Arabidopsis thaliana: one gene and its partners. Each later gene encodes a partner of the first gene's protein in a complex. Each region holds a gene or a part of one and is shown in the gene's direction. Other genes may lie near its edges. The genes, in order: AT3G05430, FVE and AT5G40340.

Region 1 (5,879 bases):
TGGAAGCGCCTTTGCCAGGTAGTCTTTCTGCTGTTAATAATGCCACAACCAGAGACATTGAGTCTGAGGTTGAGGTGAGCCAAGAAGGCAGGGTACGGGAAATTGTCATGGACAATGTTAACCCTGGATCAAAGGTATCTTCTTGTCAAATTTCCCTCCTTAATATATTTTGCATAGCACCACCTTTTGATTTGTTTGAGAGAATTGAAGCATCTTATGCATATATGCTGTGGTAGTGATTGTGTCGACACAGAATATAGTTACTCCAGTCCGGATCATCACCTTCTCGCACTCTTATTATGTTTTGGGTGATTAATCCCCAGGTTGAAGGAAACAGCGAACGCATTATTGCGACTATTAAATCTGAGAAGGAAGAGCTGGAGGCATCACTGAACAAAGAGAGGATGCAGACTCTCCAACTAAGGCAAGAGTTAGGAGAAGCAGAATTACGAAACACAGATTTGTACAAGGTACTAATATTATCACCTTCTTAAAACAGAAGCCGACATGAATAAATTGGTGAACCAATCGTTCATAAAGACTGGTTGCAGCAGTCTTCCAATTGCATTCACATTTAACATCTGAAATCTCGGAATTTTTCCTCGAATATGATATACCTAACTTTGTACTGACATTTTGTAGGAACTTCAATCTGTTCGTGGCCAACTTGCAGCCGAACAATCAAGGTGTTTCAAACTGGAGGTACTAAACCGTAGCCACATCTCTTTTGTACCATAACCTACAGAATTTGGAATCTCGTGAAACCCGTGATTTAATGACTACATATACTCATATTCCAGGATGAATAGGAATCTTGATTAGAACATTCATCCATTGTAACCACTGGATCTATCACATATCTTCTCTGTCATTTATTGATAAGCTTCATCACGTCATAAGAACAAAAACAAAGCAAATCTAATTGGGTCACTTTCTCCGAATCTGCAGGTTGATGTTGCAGAGCTAAGACAAAAGCTTCAAACATTGGAAACACTACAGAAGGAACTCGAACTCCTGCAACGTCAAAAGGCTGCCTCAGAACAAGCTGCAATGAACGCTAAACGACAGGGCTCGGGTGGCGTATGGGGCTGGCTCGCTGGAAGCCCTCAGGAAAAAGATGATGATTCGCCTTGATCATTTTTGGTCCGGTAATGCCATTTTCCTCCGGACGATATTTGCTTTCAGTAAAGAAATATATATAGTTTTTTTTGTCTGAGTCTCTCGCATTGTTTCTTCTTCCAATAAGATATTTTTTTAGCGAGCTTTGATTACTACCGATGTTTAGCTTTGTTCTCTGTTATACAAGTGATTCACCAGAATATTCGTTAACTTTTTTGAAATATTTGTTTTGGGAGTGTCTGACAAAATTATGAAAACTAAATCAGTTTACGATCAGCAATCATAATTTTCTTATATTTACGAGTCTCTTACTCTCTTCACTCTTTAGTCTTCGTTTGCATTAAAAATTAAATTAAATTTACCTCACTTCGTAAGTGGACAAAAAATCACGTTTTAGGCAGCAAAATAAAATAAAATAAAAAGATCACGTTTTTTTGTCCCATGACGTGGCAACCTATTACTGGATGGGAAGTTCGACCGTTCACCATCACCATTTATGACGCTGAGAAGTTACCAAAATGTCCTTCTCACCAAGTGATGCTTTTGTCATCTTCTCCAGCTTTACTCTCATGAAATTTCTTAAATTTTCTCTTCCAGCAAACAATCTCAGGATTTAAACAAAGTTACGCATCTTCTGGCTTCGAGTTGTTTCTAGGGTTTCATTGTTATGAAAGCTCTTTAACACCGAGGGTTCAAGTGTGGTTAGAGAGAAATGAATTCGGCTGAGGTGAATGTGAATCCTAGGGTTTTTGGTGATAGTTTCGTTACTTTTTCTGGCAATGGCTCCGGGAAATTTGAAATGATTGATCAGGCCGAAGCTTTCCTTATGGAGCTTGATTCGGTTGCTGCAGACACTGGAAGTGATGGAAATGGAAATGTCGATTTAGGTTCTCGAGTGTCTAACAGTGAAACGGAACCTAGATTTTGTGAAATGAAAAGAGAGATTAGAGACTCTGATCACCGATTTTATGAGCTCTGCAACGAATCTGGTGAGAAGAAAATGGAGAAAAGGCGAGTTCCGGACTACAAATCTTTCTTATCCGAATTTGACGATTATGTTGCGAGGGAGAAAATGGGTTCTAGAAATTCGAAGGCATTGAGCTATGGTTTTGAAGTGGGAGATATGGTTTGGGGAAAGGTAAAGTCACATCCATGGTGGCCAGGTCAAATATTCAATGAAGCTTTTGCGTCTCCCTCTGTTCGTCGTGTGAAGAAGATGGGTTACGTTCTGGTTGCTTTCTTTGGGGATAATAGTTATGGATGGTTCGATCCTGCTGAGCTTATCCCTTTTGAACCTCATGTGAAGGAGAAATCACAGCAAACTAGTTCGGATCACTTTGCAAAAGCTGTGGAAGAAGCTATGAATGAAGTAGGTAGAAGGTCAGCTCTTGGCTTGACTTGTAAATGTCGGAATCAGTATAACTTTAGGCCTATTAATGCTCAAGGTTACTTTGCTGTAGACGTGCCTGATTACGAGGTCCAAGCTATTTACTCTTCTAAGCAGATTCAGAAAGCTAGGGATAGTTTTTCATCTGTGCAAACTCTAGCTTTTGTGAAGCGGTGTGCATTAGCACCTCAAGAGTGTGATACAGACAGCTTAAAGTCTTTCCAGAAGAAAGTAGCGGTTTGTGCATTCCGTAGAGCAGTGTTTGAGGAGTTTGATGAAACATATGAACAAGCTTTCAGGGCAAGATCTGTATACTGTTTAATGAAGACACATGAACCACTTAATAGAGCACCCCTTCGAGGTAGATTCACCTTTCAGCGATCCTGGCATTGTTTTGAATACATTTGTAATATTTCTGCTTCCAAAATCGAATTTTATGGAGTTTTATTAGATCTTTCTCCTATGTATCACAGAGATACGGTACTCTATAAATTGGTGATCTCGTTGAGTTTGTTTTTCTGTTTCTCGAGCCATATAGGCTACATTCGAGAGTTTTGTGGTTTGGGTATCCTTCGACATCAAAAATGCTTTTCTTAAGGTTGTTATTGTAGGATTTATAGCTATGAAGTTGTATTCTTAGAATGCCTCAAAAGGATATGGCATATCTTTGATCTTAAATTCTGGATTGTGAAATCTCATTGTGTTGGGTGGTTGGAATAGATTTCATATTTCCTCATGCATTGCTTGTGTTTACAGTCCCCTTGAGTGGCTCATTGGTCAGTGCAGAAACTCTGGGCAACCCAAAGAGCTACACAAAAGCTATGAATGTAAAGGATTCTACTAAACAAGACAAATATCTTCCAAAAAGAAGAGAAGAAGCTGGTGATATGACAGTTCAATTTGGCCAGGTCCAAGAATCTTCTCAGTTTCAGGGCATCAACGGATCTTCAGCTTGGGATCGTCTACTCCAGAGAAGGACTCCATGTCTCCAAACTCCCAGGAAACATGAGCAGACTGGGCTTGTCAGCATGAACTTCACCTCTTCAAGTGGTAATATTCCTGGAAAGAAATCCTCTGTTTCAAAGCTCTCTCGTGATGATGACAAGGGTTTAGCTCAAGAGTCAGATGTGAGAATGGGAGAAAAAGCAACTCTATTTCCAGATCAGGAGAAATTTGAACCAATGAAAAGCCTTAAACAAGATGAGACTGGAACAAATTCTAGATCTAACAAAAGCTCTCTCAAGCTTTTTAGTGGTGGGAAATTTTCTGCAGGAGTTGGGATCAAGAAAGGCAATGTCGTGAAACGGTCTTCTGGCGAAATGAAATCTGAGAATTGTCCTCCAGAACCAAAGAAAAAGAAGAAAGAGTATGTGTCAGAGCTGAACCGTGACACTCCAGATAAGAGGAAAGCGTTATCTTCTGGAGAAGCTTGGGCCAAGAAATCGTCACAAGTAGATTCAGCAAAGAGACGCTCCAATATGTTGATAGTGAAACTTGATGGTCTGCAGCTGTTGAGTAATTTGCTAGCTCTCTCGCTTGACCCTCTCTTTGGATCCTCAGATAGAAGTTCTTTTAGAGTTATAAGGCAGTTCTTTTTTCATTTCCGATCACATGTTTACCAGAAAAGCTTGGCCACATCTCCTTCCGCAACAAAACTGTCAAAATCTGCAAAGACTTTGTGCAGAGCTAATGAACAATCAAAGGCTGGGAGAAACCGCATATCGTCTGACAGTCAACAAGATGTCCCATCAACTAAGAAGCTAAAGAAAACCATTCAGTTCAAACCACTGGCTTCTGACAAGAAAACAAACCAAGATGCAACAAAGAGATCAAGTCTTGCACCTTTAAATCCAGTAAGAGACCAATGTCGAGTTCCCATCAATGCCAAACCAGCTATAGTTCAACAAGAAAAGAAGACGGGTCCATCTGCAATGGTAGTTGAGCCAACAATGCTGGTCATGATGTTTCCTCCTGGTGAATCTCTCCCTTCCATTGATCTGCTTAAGGCGAGGTTTGGACGCTTTGGACAGTTGGATCAATCAGCCATCAGAGTTTCCTGGAAATCCTCGATCTGCCGTGTTGGCTTCCTGTATAAACTCGATGCGCAGACTGCCTTAAGATATGTATCAGGAAGCAAATCTCTCTTTGGCAATGTGAATGTGACATACTTTCTCCGTGACATGAAAGCTTCTTCTGCATCCGGAGATCATGAACTGAAGAAAGCCAAGAGGCCCAAGACAGACAAACCCATCACTAAACCATTGAACCAGCTACTAGAGCAAGCACCGCCGGTTCACCAACCAAACATCCAGCTCAAGTCTTGTTTGAAAAAACCAGGCAATAACCGTAATGGTAACCACAGAACAGTACGAGTGAAATTCATGTTGGGTGAGAAAGAAACAGAGTCACCATTTTCGGTTTCGATTCTTCCTCTCTCTTCACAAGACTCAGAACCAAAGCCTGTAAATAACCAAGTGGACCACGTCGAGCCACCACTAGACCCGTCACAGCTTAAGGTGGACATCTCCCTGCAGATGATGGAGCTGTTAACAAGGTGTAACGATGCTGTGGCCAACGTCACGGGTTTGTTGGGTTACGTCCCTTATCATTCCTTATGAAAGATTACATTAAAGAAAAACAAAAGTCTGTCCTTAGGTATTATTAACTAGTATTATCTGGAGAAGGGTATCAAAATTCAAAGTGAATAGAACATCTCTCTTTCTCTAAATATCCACATTTGACATATAAACCGATTTTAAACCAGAATGTTTTTCTAACTTTACTGGTTTCCAGTTTGCCAAAAAAAAAAAAACTTTATTGGTTTCCTATTTTAAAGCCAATATCAAACTGCAAAAAAAAAAAAAAAAAAACAATTAACCAAATTTGCATGAAAACTGAAACCAAATGCGTTTTAATTCTGCGCGTTTGATATTAGATCTAACATTTTAGAGCATAACAATATCCTACTATATTATTTGGAAAGTACATAACCTTACTTTTTGTAATTAATTACATGCCATTAGAAAAATTTAATCAAAAACAAAATCTTTTAATGACATCATTAAGATTATCAAAATTATTTAACGACAATATTCATCTCTTAATTATAGGGCTTATTGGATTTAAAGACGGGTCATCAAAAATTTCCTAAACTAAAGCAAAATATACTGAATATTCAAATATCTATCTGTTACCAAATTATAAACAAATAAGTTCGTAAAACGATTTAATATTTTATATACGAAATCAATTAAATCTTAATCACATAAAAATTAGCACAAAAAAAAATATGGTACATTTGGGTCTATAGTATTTTTGCAAGACTTTTTTGGTGGATTTTGGTAAAAGTGCATTCGGCCCCTATTAAATAAAT
Region 2 (6,394 bases), on another chromosome or scaffold:
GAGAAACATATTGTACATATAATAAAGTAAAAGTATAAAAAATTGATAATTTTAAAAATACGAGAACTTCTCGTTTCTTGTTCTAAGTAAAATAACATTCCAATATAGAATTAGGGTTTAGTTGCCTTTGGAAAATTGCTTTGTAAAAAGCTAGATATTATGTTTCGTTTAGTATATCTTTGACTCATGATATTTGACATTTGATTAAAAATCATGTTTGCCTTACATGCATAATATCTTAAATGCTTGTATCACATGTCTCTAACTACCACGAAAAACTTTGTGTATAAAAAATTCAAATCTTTAATTTTTGGACGACAAATTCATTAGCGTTACTAATTTCATTGTACCTATCAGTTTTATGACGATAATAATACAATTTATTTCGTCCCAAAAAAAATAATATTTATTTATTAAGTTAATAGGAAAATAGGTGTAAATATACAAATATGTATATGTAATATGCAATTAGAGAATATATGAAACACCACTATACTATCAACATTAATATTAGTAAGATGAGAAACATAAATTAGATGATTTGAGTCAATATTTTTCCCTAGTAATCTTAGTAATAGTTTTTTTTTTCTTTTATTTGCATAGTTCATATACATATTTGTATACATATATGTTGTGCAGATCTAAAATTTTTGTTTAATACCTATTTTGCACCTCTACCAAATAAATTGTGTTAGAATTTTAAAAAATTCATAATCACAACAAAATTTCTAACACTATTTAATTTGTTGATCATAAAAAATCTGAATTTTTATGCACAAAACGTTTCTTAATAGTCAAAACTAGTGATATAAGAAGTGCAATGCCAAGAATTATAGAGATTTGAAGCGAAATTTTAAAATGACATGATTATACATAACTTTTAAGTTCTAAACTATAATCATAATAAAAAAAATTAAGATATTAAATAGAGCGAACAGACGTTTAGGTTTTTTTCGGATTTACCATATTCATCAGATTAATCCATGCTGGATTGAGAAAAAGCCTCAAGCTTGGAACAACTACATGTAAATCATAACCTCGAGATATTTTAAGGCTTTCAATGTCCCAAAGAAAGTTATTTGGTGTCGAATCCATGAGTGAAAATTGAGCTTTTCACATAGAACAAAGAGGGATATGAAATAGTACAATTTTATGTTTTAAATAAAGAAGATAAAATGAAAGGTAAATTTTATAGGTTTAGCCAGCAGAGAACAAATGAAATGAATGTTTTAAGTTTAGACACCAAGAACAAACTTAGGGTTCAAGTCTAAGCTTAGTCATATACTTCTGAACAATATTGGACTTTATTGTTCAAGTATTAAACAAACATTGAAATCTTCTTAAATCACTTTTCAAAATGCAACGAGGATCTATTCTTTTTTTTTTTTTCAGAAGAAGCTACAAGAAAGAACAACAAGTTTGGATATGAATTATAAAGTTAGTAATCCATGTAAGAGACGCTTATATTAATTAATTTATACTGTTAATTATTTCATCCGTAATTTTTATTATTATTCAATAAAGTATTTATTTTACTGAATTAAAAAATAATAATTATGGGTGTTTGGATATTCGGTCGGGTATTTTGGGTTTGAGTTTTTCGGGTTTAGAATTTTAAGATCCGTTCGAGTAATTCAAGATTCCGGGTCGGGTTTGGTTCGGTTTCGGGTTTAGTTATATATTGAAATATCAAAATTTTGTGTCCGAATCTATTAAATTATTTGAAAATTTCAAAAATTCCCTAAACAACCCGAGTAGTTTTGCTTGAATATATTTAAAAATACATAAAAGTAACTAAAATATCCGAAAAATCATAATATTGTCTATATGTAAATATAAATATAAATATTTTAGTTATATTTATATTTAAGATATGTTTGGGTACCAGTTCGGGTTCGGGTTTTTCAGGTTTTGAAGTTTAGATTCAGTCGGATATTTGAAAATTTCAGGTTCGAATTTAGATTGGGATTTTTGGATTGGGATTTTTGGATCGGGTTCAGATCGGTTTTTTCGGATTCAGGTATTATGTCCAAAGTAAAAATGGTAAACGGTGGTTGTTTTGTTTGTATTTGTAAAGCAGAAGAGAGAGAGATATAGAGACACTGAAAGCAAAGACCAAAAAAGAAAAATTAAAAAGAGAGAGAGGAAAATGGAGAGCGACGAAGCAGCAGCAGTGTCTCCTCAAGCAACGACACCGAGCGGAGGAACCGGAGCTTCTGGGCCGAAGAAGAGAGGTCGGAAACCTAAAACCAAGGAAGATTCTCAGACGCCGTCGTCTCAGCAACAGAGCGATGTTAAAATGAAAGAAAGTGGGAAGAAAACGCAGCAGTCGCCGAGTGTTGACGAGAAGTACTCTCAGTGGAAAGGTCTCGTCCCCATTCTCTACGACTGGCTCGCTAACCATAACCTCGTCTGGCCTTCACTCTCTTGCAGGTCTCCCCCTTTCTCCTTTCCTCTCCTTCTAGGGTTTCGTTTCGTAATCGTTTCTTAGCTTTGAACATTCTCATGTTTGGAATGAATTTAGTAAAATCTTACACATACATTTTCTCGATTTCTGGGTTTAAGTGAGATTGTTGCGATTGTTCTAGTTAGGGTTTTGGATGTGGCTCTGTCTTCATACCTTGATATATCTGATGTTCTATTCATGAATTGTTACTATTGATTACCTTGTTGGTTACTAATGACTAAGAGGAATTTTCAGTTTCTCTGAGTGTTTATATCTGATGAAGTCTTTAGTTGTTGTGCTAAGAGTTTCCATTTGGTGAATTGTTGTTTGATTTTTTTATAGATGGGGTCCGCAGCTTGAGCAAGCAACCTACAAGAATCGCCAGCGTCTGTACCTCTCAGAGCAAGTAAGTTTTTAGCTTTCTCTTGTATCTTGTTGTCTCATCTTCTTTATATACTTCTCATCGTATTATTTGTATTTTTCTTGGTTGTGTCACCAGACTGATGGAAGTGTGCCCAATACTTTGGTCATAGCAAATTGTGAAGTTGTTAAGCCAAGGGTTGCTGCAGCAGAGCACATTTCTCAGGTATTATGTGGTTTAATACTAAGCTTGTGTCCTTTCCATATCCTACTCCACACTACAATTGGTTTCATGTTTGACACTTATATACTATCTTCTGAAAATGTGTTCTCAGTTCAATGAAGAAGCACGTTCTCCATTTGTGAAGAAGTACAAGACCATCATTCACCCTGGAGAGGTGTGAATTCTGCCCACTCTTGAGATATTTCTGTATTGACATTGTTCTTTTTAGTTCTATTTGGTTTGTTAATTGTATCTGCATCCCTGTTTCATCTGTCCATGAAGTTATTCGTTTGGCACGTTGGTGAAAGTAAATTTTGATGTGTATTCATTACTAATTTGCAATTGCAGGTTAACAGAATCAGGGAACTCCCACAGAATAGTAAGATTGTTGCTACTCACACCGACAGTCCTGATGTGAGTGCTGCTTCTATTTTGTTATGGTCATAGCAACTTGAAATATGTCGGTTTCATATTTCTGTATTTGGCAGTCAAAGAGCATCCTTTGTTCGGACATATGTCCAGTTTCAGAGTTATCTAAATACAATATGTTGATTTCAGGTTCTCATTTGGGATGTTGAAACCCAACCAAACCGTCATGCTGTGCTTGGAGCTGCAAATTCCCGTCCAGATTTGGTATGTCCACTTCTGAGAATGTTGTTTTATGCTTTATTCTTGTTTGTTTCTCATCATTGGAAGTGATAAATCTCTTTGATATCTTCTTAAATAGTGCTTCTTGTTTGCATCATCTGAATGAACCATTTTTCATGCAGATACTAACTGGGCACCAAGATAATGCTGAATTTGCTCTTGCCATGTGCCCAACGGAACCCTTTGTGCTCTCCGGAGGTTTGTGTTTCTGTAATTTGTAGAGTCCAATCCTGTGGTTTGCCAGTTTCTCATACAAAAGTTCTTCTCTTAGGCAAGGACAAGTCAGTTGTTTTGTGGAGTATCCAAGATCACATCACAACGATTGGGACAGATTCCAAATCATCTGGATCTATCATCAAACAGACTGGTGAAGGTACTGATAAGAATGAGAGTCCTACTGTTGGCCCACGAGGTGTATATCATGGCCATGAAGATACAGTTGAAGATGTGGCATTCAGCCCGACGAGGTAACTTCTTAGAACAGACTCCTTCTATTGATATCGTGTTTGTTTATGCATACTGCAGATATTTTCATGATTTTCTAATAATACTTCTGGTGAACTTTTATACCGTGAAGTGCACAAGAATTCTGCAGTGTTGGTGATGATTCTTGCCTTATACTATGGGATGCGAGAACTGGCACAAACCCTGTCACGAAGGTACTCTATCTTTTGAATCCTATCAAAAGTTTGAAGATTTACCTCCTTTTGATATTATATCTTACTTTTTTGTTTTCCAGGTTGAAAAAGCGCATGATGCTGATCTTCATTGTGTTGATTGGAATCCTCATGACGACAATCTGATCCTGACAGGGTATGGAGAAATACATACAAATAGATGATTAATACATACTTAGTATCTAATTAAGAAATTGATGAATATTTCAGGTCAGCAGACAACACTGTCCGGTTGTTTGATCGTAGGAAGCTTACCGCTAATGGAGTTGGTTCGCCTATTTACAAATTTGAGGGACACAAAGCTGCTGTTCTTTGTGTTCAGGTATAATCAACTTTTTTTTTTTTTTTCCTTCTTTGTATGAAGTATATCTCTTAACCCACTGACACTATCTTGTTATTCAATTCAGTGGTCTCCTGATAAGTCATCCGTCTTTGGGAGCTCTGCAGAAGATGGTCTCTTGAACATCTGGGATTATGACAGGGTGTGTACATAGTTCACTCAGATGTCTAAAATTAATCTTTCTTCACTATCATCACTGAAACATATTCATTGTACTCATGTTTGGTTTGTTTAATTAACCATCAGGTCAGTAAGAAGTCTGATCGTGCAGCTAAAAGCCCCGCTGGGCTCTTCTTCCAGCATGCTGGTCACAGGTTCTTAAAGACTTATCTTGATTTTTCTTGATTGCTTTCTCATTTTACTTGCTTCTAAGTTCCCTTGTTTATAAACCATATTAGGGACAAAGTTGTTGATTTCCACTGGAATGCTTCAGACCCTTGGACTATTGTCAGTGTTTCTGATGACTGTGAGACTACTGGTGGAGGTGGAACATTGCAGGTAACCTTGAAATCTTTCTTGGTACCTTGATAAGCAATTTTATTGACATACCGTTAAATGTTGTTTATACTTTCTTCTATGGCAGATATGGCGGATGAGTGACTTGATTTACAGACCAGAAGAAGAAGTCGTGGCAGAATTGGAGAAGTTCAAGTCGCATGTTATGACTTGTGCCTCCAAGCCTTAAGAGTAAAGAAAACCCATTGTCTATCTATCTATCGCCTATGGTAAACTAATGCGGGTTTTAGCGAGGAGTCTTGGTTTTTGTAAGGCTGGTTTGTCTTTTGAGATATTGGTGGTAGCTTTTAGGACCTTTCCATATCAGTTAGGGGTACATGGTTCTGGTTCATGATCCTGTTTCATCAGACTCTTAGGTGCTGTTTTGTTCAACTGAGATGTTAATCAAATCGGACCAACTTTATGTGTTTTGGTTTAAGGTTTCAATACTTGGCCTGAACCTAATGATTCCTTCTCTGTAACTAGTCGAGACCAACCCGGCTACAAAAAAAATAGTTGCATTGATGTTCAAATGCAAAGCAGAAGGGGTCATTATAAAACAATATAGTAATAAGCATCGCAAAATTTGGAAACTGGGTTCTTGATGATTCGTCGCATCTTAAATAATGTTTGCATTGTCGTTTTCATTAGAAAAAAACTGTTAATCACGCTTAGCAGTAGGATTAGGTGATTTTCAATTCACAGATTTATTCGTAGGATTTTGAAGAAATTTTAAGTATTAACAGTCACTAAACAATCAGACCATTGCAAATCATACATAGATCACCTGGTCATTTCATAAAACTAAACTATATGATAATGTTTTACTTTATTGGGCTTAACGTTAATGGTCCTCCCGCTTAATAGGCTTTATGAAGTCTCTTGATGAGCTAGAGACTTTAAAAATCCAATCACAAAGCCTACATGAGACCGTCAAGATCAGTCAGAGAAGATCAAACGAAGAAGTTTTTGTTCCAAAAGATACTAAAGAGAGAAACATGAATCAATGTATTGCTTGAGGAATAAGGTAGGGAAGCTAATCAATCACAAGTAGACGAATCGGAGTATTTCATAAAATTAGGGTTTTTAGACCTACATTTTCTTTTCTTTTTCCGACGATACTTAAATTGCTCGAGAAACTCTATTAGTGAGAAATCCCCCATCGGAATCTCGATGGAATCATCTCCTTCTGGATCCGAACCTCC
Region 3 (6,148 bases), on another chromosome or scaffold:
ATCTTAGTTGAGACTTAATTAAATATGAACAATCAAGTTCGCTATTGCATCTATATATGTTTTTGCCTTTATTTCTAATCATGTAGATTAAGATCATTTTTATGATATGCGTATAAATATTGTAGAAAAGATTAAGGTGCACAATCTAGATTTGGATAGATAGAAAAAGTAGAGGCATTGGTTTAGCTATCATATGTTCTCATCACATCAAGAGACTTGGATCTTAATTAATCAATGTTTCCATATTTACTGATAAATAAAAAAGTTATAAAGTAGACAAACCGTTGATATAATTTTTCACGTCCAAAGAGAGTACGTAGATCACCTCATGACCAGGTTGCTTTATAGTGTTTAGATTGTATAGCATTCATATTCTGACTGAATCTCTAGAACATATGCTCAAATCATTTCGTTTGGAGTTTTGACCCATCCTCAAATCATATTATATATGCATTCTATGCAAGTACAAATATGAACCATTACATTTTGTTGAATTAGGTTGCATGTCTTTTTAGTTTTGCCCACATGTTTTTCGTGTGAGAATTGTGAATTCCCCATGTGAATCATAAATGAAAAGATAACATGGTGGGTCGTTCACAACTTACAATTCGGAATTATTTTAAACGTGTCTGAATTCCCTTGGCACTGTAATGATCCGTCTGTTACGTTGCCTTGGGCCTTGGGCTTTGGAGATGGACTAATATTTACACAAGTTGGGTTCAAGGTCATTGAGCTTTCTTTCAAACTATGATTAAGTAGTGGGAAATATATGATTCATATATCACTATTACTTGGTATTACAGTTCTAATACAGATTATACAGTTGATTCATATTGGTTCGCCGTCGATACTACATATAATCATGTCATGAGAACGTGTTGTTCGTGTAAAATTAACACAACAAGAAAATTACGTTTAGATGTATCAAATGTTATCCTAACAGATTTCACATGTTATATAGTCTCAACGAAAAAAATTAAAACATTTAAACTGGGTCAAAAGATGTATTTAAGCGATTTTCTTATATGGTGTAACATAAGTTGACCAAAAAGATTGAATATGAATTAGTGTGAAGATTGATTCAATGACTAAATCTAGTTTAATCATAAAATCTAAACATTTATCTTTTTTTAATAAAACTCAAACCGATAAATAATTTTGTTTTAGTAACAAATTAGATTTTATAAGTAAATTAATTTTTTTATTATTATTAAATGTCAAATTTTAATTGAATAAAATAAAAAAAGTGAATATAAGGGTTCAACTCAAATATTTTTCAATTCAATATATATAACCAAGATTTTCGTTACCACTCCACTTAAGTAATGCAGTGAATGAAAAAGAAAAAATAATCAGTGTCTAAAATCAAAATACCGTTGGTCAGTTGAATAATGAAAAAGAAAAGATCTTTGATTTTCCTTTTACTTGGTAGATTCCTACTCTTTAGGATTGAGGTTTTAATAAAAGACTTTAATCAACAAGCACTAAATTTAAGATACTGGTGTTGTGTAATAATAAGTTTGGGCCGAGCAAAAAAAGAAAAGGACTGGGCCGAGAAACGGCAAATATTTGTGTCGTTTCAAATACCAAATTCAAAATCTCCATTCTTTTATTACTCTGCTTATTAGCCGTCTAAGCATATTACAGCTGTCAATCATCGAAAGCATGTGACGCGTCTCTCTTATTTCATCCCACTCGCGTTCATATACACGTGTTATCTACTCTCTATCCGATTTCCGCCACGTAAGAATCTAGACACTGATGTTCTTATACACATAGCGAGTAAGCTGTATTTTACACTCTCGTAGCTAGTCAGTTTATTGTGATAGCGACACGGCTGATTTAGGGAAATAAATTAAAAACGTTGTCTTATTCCTGGGGCAAAAAAAAGCAGATAAGTAAGCAAAAAAAAAAACTCATTAATTACGAAAGTACCCTTAAATTTCTCCGAAAGGAAATTTTTGCGCCGCGTTTCATCTTCTCTCAAATCAAAATCCAGAGAGAAAAAAAAGAGAGGATTTTTCTCATGAGATTCTGAGAGTGTCTTTGTTCTTCTTACAAAGAAGTGTTTTTTCTTGAAGATTCTTCGGTCGCTGTTCGAAAAGTTGTTGTTTCGTTTCTCTCGGAGCTCAAAATCAGGTAAAAAATTTGTTACTTTATATTTTCGTTTTTCTAGGTTTTTCGTAAGAGTTAACCTAATTTCAAAATTTGTTTTTTTGGGAGATATTGTTGGGTTTGTGTGTAAATAGTTAGGTTGATTTTTTTTTCTGATTTGTTTGTCGTTTTGTGATTTTTTTTTTCTACAGTCGGGAAGAAAAATGGAAATTGAAGTTGTTTTGGGAATCGGAGAAGATGCGGGACCTAAGCCTTGTTCTGCAGAGATTGAATCAGCTGAGAAAACCCTAAAAGATGATGGTGTTGTTCAAGAGAACGGTGTTAGGGTTTCCGACAACGGTGAGAAAAAGTCTGATGTTGTTGTTGATGTTGACGAGAAAAATGAGAAGAATTTGAACGAATCTGGAGTTATTGAAGATTGTGTTATGAATGGAGTTTCTTCCTTGCTCAAATTGAAGGAAGATGTGGAAGAAGAAGAAGAAGAAGAAGAAGAAGAAGAAGAGGAAGAAGAAGATGGCGAAGATGAAGAAGAAGAAGAAGAAGAAGAAGAAGAAGAAGAAGAAGAAGAGCATGGATACTGTGTAGGAGATTTTGTGTGGGGAAAAATTAAGAATCATCCATGGTGGCCAGGTCAGATTTATGATCCATCAGATGCTTCAGATTTGGCTTTGAAGATAAAGCAAAAAGGGAAATTGCTTGTGGCGTGTTTCGGAGACGGGACATTTGCTTGGTGCGGTGCGTCGCAGTTGAAACCGTTTGCAGAGAGTTTCAAAGAGTGTTCGAAAGTGAGTAATTCGCGGAGTTTTCTAGGTGCAGTGGAAGAGGCGGTTGAAGAAATTGGTAGACATATTGAGCGTGTATTGGTATGTGATTGTGCTGAGGAGAAGAAGCATGAGTTTGATAGTCCTTTAGTTAACAATGCTGGGATTAAAGAAGGTGTTTTGGTGCGTGATGTGAGACGGGAAATGATTTCGTCGTTGTTGATTGGTAAACATGGAGAGATTCTTAAAGATGTTAAGAGTTTTGCAGAGACTGTTAGTTTTAGTGGCTTGCTTGAGCTGGAGATATTGAAAAGGAAGGTATCTGCGTTTTATCGGTCTAATAGAGGATATGGTTTGACTGAGTATCATGAACCTCAATCAGTTCCAGGACTTGAAGACAAGAACAATGATGATGATGATGATGATGAAGAAAAGAATGTTAATGATGGGTTACAATGGCGTGCTAAACGGTCTAGAGTAGAAGAAGTAGCAGCTTTGGATCATGAAGAGTCGTCGTCTCTTCAGAGATCGTTAGAGAAGTGTTCTGGTTTTCCTGATCATAGGCTTCCCCACAGAAGGAAGGAGAAAAGCATTACTGAAATAATTGAGAAGGAGTCAGCTGCTAAGGTTAGGTTTGAGACAGAACCTGCGGATGGAGATGTAAAGTCAAATGTTAAGTCGGGTAGGAAGAAAACAAAACGCCATGATGAAGTTAATGGTGATCTTGAAAATGTAACTACTACTGCACTGTGGAGGAGAAGAAAGAGTGAAGTAGCTACAATTGAAGACGGTGGTAACAAGCAAGTGGTAGAAAGTAGCAAAGGCAAAACTTCGAGGAAGAAGAAGAAAATGGATGTGGATGATGGCGATGATGATGGGAGTGGAGACAAAGAAGAGTCTGAGGAAAAAGAGATTTCAGATCTGGAAATAAATATCGATTCAACTTCATTAGCTTCGCTGCGGAAAAAGGTAAGGTTTGATGATTCAGTCGTTGAAAGGAGTACTGAAAATGGCGAGACCGCTACACAAACATCAAAGAGAGAGAGGAAGAAGAGCAAGTATCTCTCGCCTGATTTCTTGTCAGATTTTTCACGGAAAGGAAGAAAAAAGAGTACAATCGAATCTGAATCTTCGAAAGTTTCAAGTCAGAGCCAAGTAGACGAGCGAGTGACTGATGCTAGTGATAGCCTCATGGAAGTGGAAGAAGATACGTTGGATAAACCTTGTGAACCATCATCTGATAATGGATTAGGTCAAGAAGAACTGTCTAGGGAACTTAGTAATGCCGTCGACTTTCTGAGGTTGGGAGCTACACCAAAGGAAATGCAGGATCTAATTCGTGTAGCTGCTCTTGGCACACAATATCCAAAAGACAGTAGCTCAAGAGACATGGTAAGAGAATTCATGACCATCTATAGAAGCTTCACATATCATGATGGAGCCAATCACAAGTTCTTAGGGAGCTATGATAGTTCGGATAAAGAAAAGGAAGAACTGAGTGAGATGGGTAAGCCTGTAACTAAGGGGAAAGAGAAGAAAGATAAGAAGGGTAAAGCAAAGCAGAAAGCAGAGGAGATAGAGGTAACTGGTAAAGAAGAGAATGAGACAGACAAGCATGGGAAAATGAAGAAAGAGCGAAAACGTAAGAAGTCTGAATCAAAGAAGGAAGGGGGTGAAGGAGAAGAAACCCAGAAAGAGGCTAATGAGTCAACAAAGAAAGAGAGAAAACGTAAGAAGTCTGAATCAAAGAAGCAATCAGATGGAGAAGAAGAAACTCAGAAAGAGCCAAGTGAGTCAACTAAAAAAGAGAGAAAACGTAAGAATCCTGAATCAAAGAAGAAGGCAGAAGCAGTTGAAGAAGAAGAAACCCGGAAAGAGTCTGTTGAATCAACCAAGAAAGAGAGAAAACGGAAGAAGCCTAAACACGACGAAGAAGAAGTCCCGAATGAGACTGAGAAACCCGAGAAGAAGAAGAAAAAGAAGAGAGAGGGAAAGTCTAAAAAGAAAGAAACTGAGACGGAATTTTCAGGAGCTGAGCTATATGTTACATTTGGTCCTGGTTCAAGTTTGCCTAAAAAGGAAGATCTGATTGAAATATATGAAAAATTTGGAGCTTTGGACAAAGAGAGAACTGATACGGTCGACAACAACTTCTCTGCCCATGTGGCTTTCTTGGATGTAGCTGATGGAGAAAAAGCCTTTGAATCCTCACTAGAGAAATGTCCGTTTACTTCTAATTCGACGGTGAAATTCAGACTCAAGTATCCAAATGAGAGAACAGAGGAGAAGAAAACTGAAGCTGAAGTTGCAGAGACGACAATGGAGGTGGAATATCTGAAGAAAAAGCTGGATGAGATGAAATTGTTACTTGATGGATGCGAAGGAGGAATGACTGAAGAAGTGAAAGTGAAACTTGAAGGTGAGATGGTAAATTTGTTGGAGAAAGTGATAGAGATGAGATCTTCTTAGGATTATGATTTTATGTTTTTATTTTGTTGGTTGAGAACTTTCAGGACAGGTTTTAGGATATTTATGGTTTCTGCAAAACATAACAAAAGTATTTTGAGAGGTTAATGTCTTGGTGATACTATGATCTTGTCGTAGGGTAGACAGAATTAGATCGATGTTCTATGTTTTTGTGTAGACTTTTTTAAAGTTTACCAACTTTGATACTAAACCCATTAGTGGGCTTTTGGTTTATCACTCTCTTGAAAGCCCACTAATTTTATTATATTACAAACAAAATTTTCAAAATCCTTTCGACGAGTATTGAATGTTTGATGAAGCCATACAAAGAGGGAGGTTGGAGATTTTTATTAGAAAGGGAGTCTCGTCGAGACTGAATCATTTACGTAATGCTAATTAGTGATCCAACAACATAAATGTTCTAAGACAATGAACAAATTCAACCATTTGATTGATCACAAAAAATGTATCCAGATAATGTATAAGAGTTAATTAAGATATTTGGCCAATTTCAAATTCAATTATCAAATTCAGAACATTAGGCTTAATCATGTTTGCTTGTTCATGTTTGCTTGTTCGTTTTTGCGTTAGTTCTCGGAGAAGCTGTAGACTTCTATCTTTGAGGTTTTGTGGACGGACCTTGAATAATCATGCTCGTGGCAACTAGGATGAGGATTCCAATACTTCGGTACTGCGGCAACAACGCAAATTTCCGAGCTTCGCGGACTCGGAATCGGTGTTTCTCCTCCTAACTTGGCCTTGATCACTCATCGGCGATCCTTTGCAATTAGAGTTGTAATGTTGTT

Evidence for each region.
Region 2: AT3G05430 (region 1) and FVE share a complex: the UniProt entries of both Arabidopsis thaliana proteins name them as parts of the PRC2 (polycomb repressive complex 2) complex.
Region 3: AT3G05430 (region 1) and AT5G40340 share a complex: the UniProt entries of both Arabidopsis thaliana proteins name them as parts of the PRC2 (polycomb repressive complex 2) complex.

What each region holds. Positions count from the first base shown.
Region 1 is NC_003074.8:1,565,914-1,571,792, forward strand, and holds AT3G05430 (Tudor/PWWP/MBT superfamily protein), read left to right. Parts: upstream 1-1,710; 5' UTR 1,711-1,831; coding exon 1,832-2,867; intron 2,868-3,262; coding exon 3,263-5,124; 3' UTR 5,125-5,305; downstream 5,306-5,879. Other genes in the region: ACBP4 (acyl-CoA binding protein 4), read left to right, coding at 1-134, 324-470, 643-702, 949-1,134; AT3G05425 (uncharacterized protein), read left to right, coding at 1,561-1,692. UniProt on the Arabidopsis thaliana protein: May influence gene expression by regulating the function of the PRC2 complex and modulating H3K27me3 level.
Region 2 is NC_003071.7:8,453,857-8,460,250, forward strand, and holds FVE (Transducin family protein / WD-40 repeat family protein), read left to right. Parts: upstream 1-1,899; 5' UTR 1,900-2,149; coding exon 2,150-2,433; intron 2,434-2,788; coding exon 2,789-2,852; intron 2,853-2,945; coding exon 2,946-3,032; intron 3,033-3,141; coding exon 3,142-3,204; intron 3,205-3,377; coding exon 3,378-3,443; intron 3,444-3,587; coding exon 3,588-3,662; intron 3,663-3,799; coding exon 3,800-3,875; intron 3,876-3,948; coding exon 3,949-4,144; intron 4,145-4,254; coding exon 4,255-4,336; intron 4,337-4,416; coding exon 4,417-4,490; intron 4,491-4,564; coding exon 4,565-4,676; intron 4,677-4,761; coding exon 4,762-4,836; intron 4,837-4,940; coding exon 4,941-5,008; intron 5,009-5,092; coding exon 5,093-5,192; intron 5,193-5,277; coding exon 5,278-5,379; 3' UTR 5,380-5,786; downstream 5,787-6,394. Other genes in the region: AT2G19530 (uncharacterized protein), read left to right, coding at 6,363-6,394. UniProt on the Arabidopsis thaliana protein: Core histone-binding subunit that may target chromatin assembly factors, chromatin remodeling factors and histone deacetylases to their histone substrates in a manner that is regulated by nucleosomal DNA.
Region 3 is NC_003076.8:16,130,851-16,136,998, reverse strand, and holds AT5G40340 (Tudor/PWWP/MBT superfamily protein), read left to right. Parts: upstream 1-1,605; 5' UTR 1,606-2,139; intron 2,140-2,306; 5' UTR 2,307-2,318; coding exon 2,319-5,345; 3' UTR 5,346-5,602; downstream 5,603-6,148. UniProt on the Arabidopsis thaliana protein: Together with PDP1, PDP2 and PDP6, interacts with MSI4/FVE and MSI5 to suppress FLC, MAF4 and MAF5 expression by regulating the function of the PRC2 complex and modulating H3K27me3 level, thereby promoting flowering.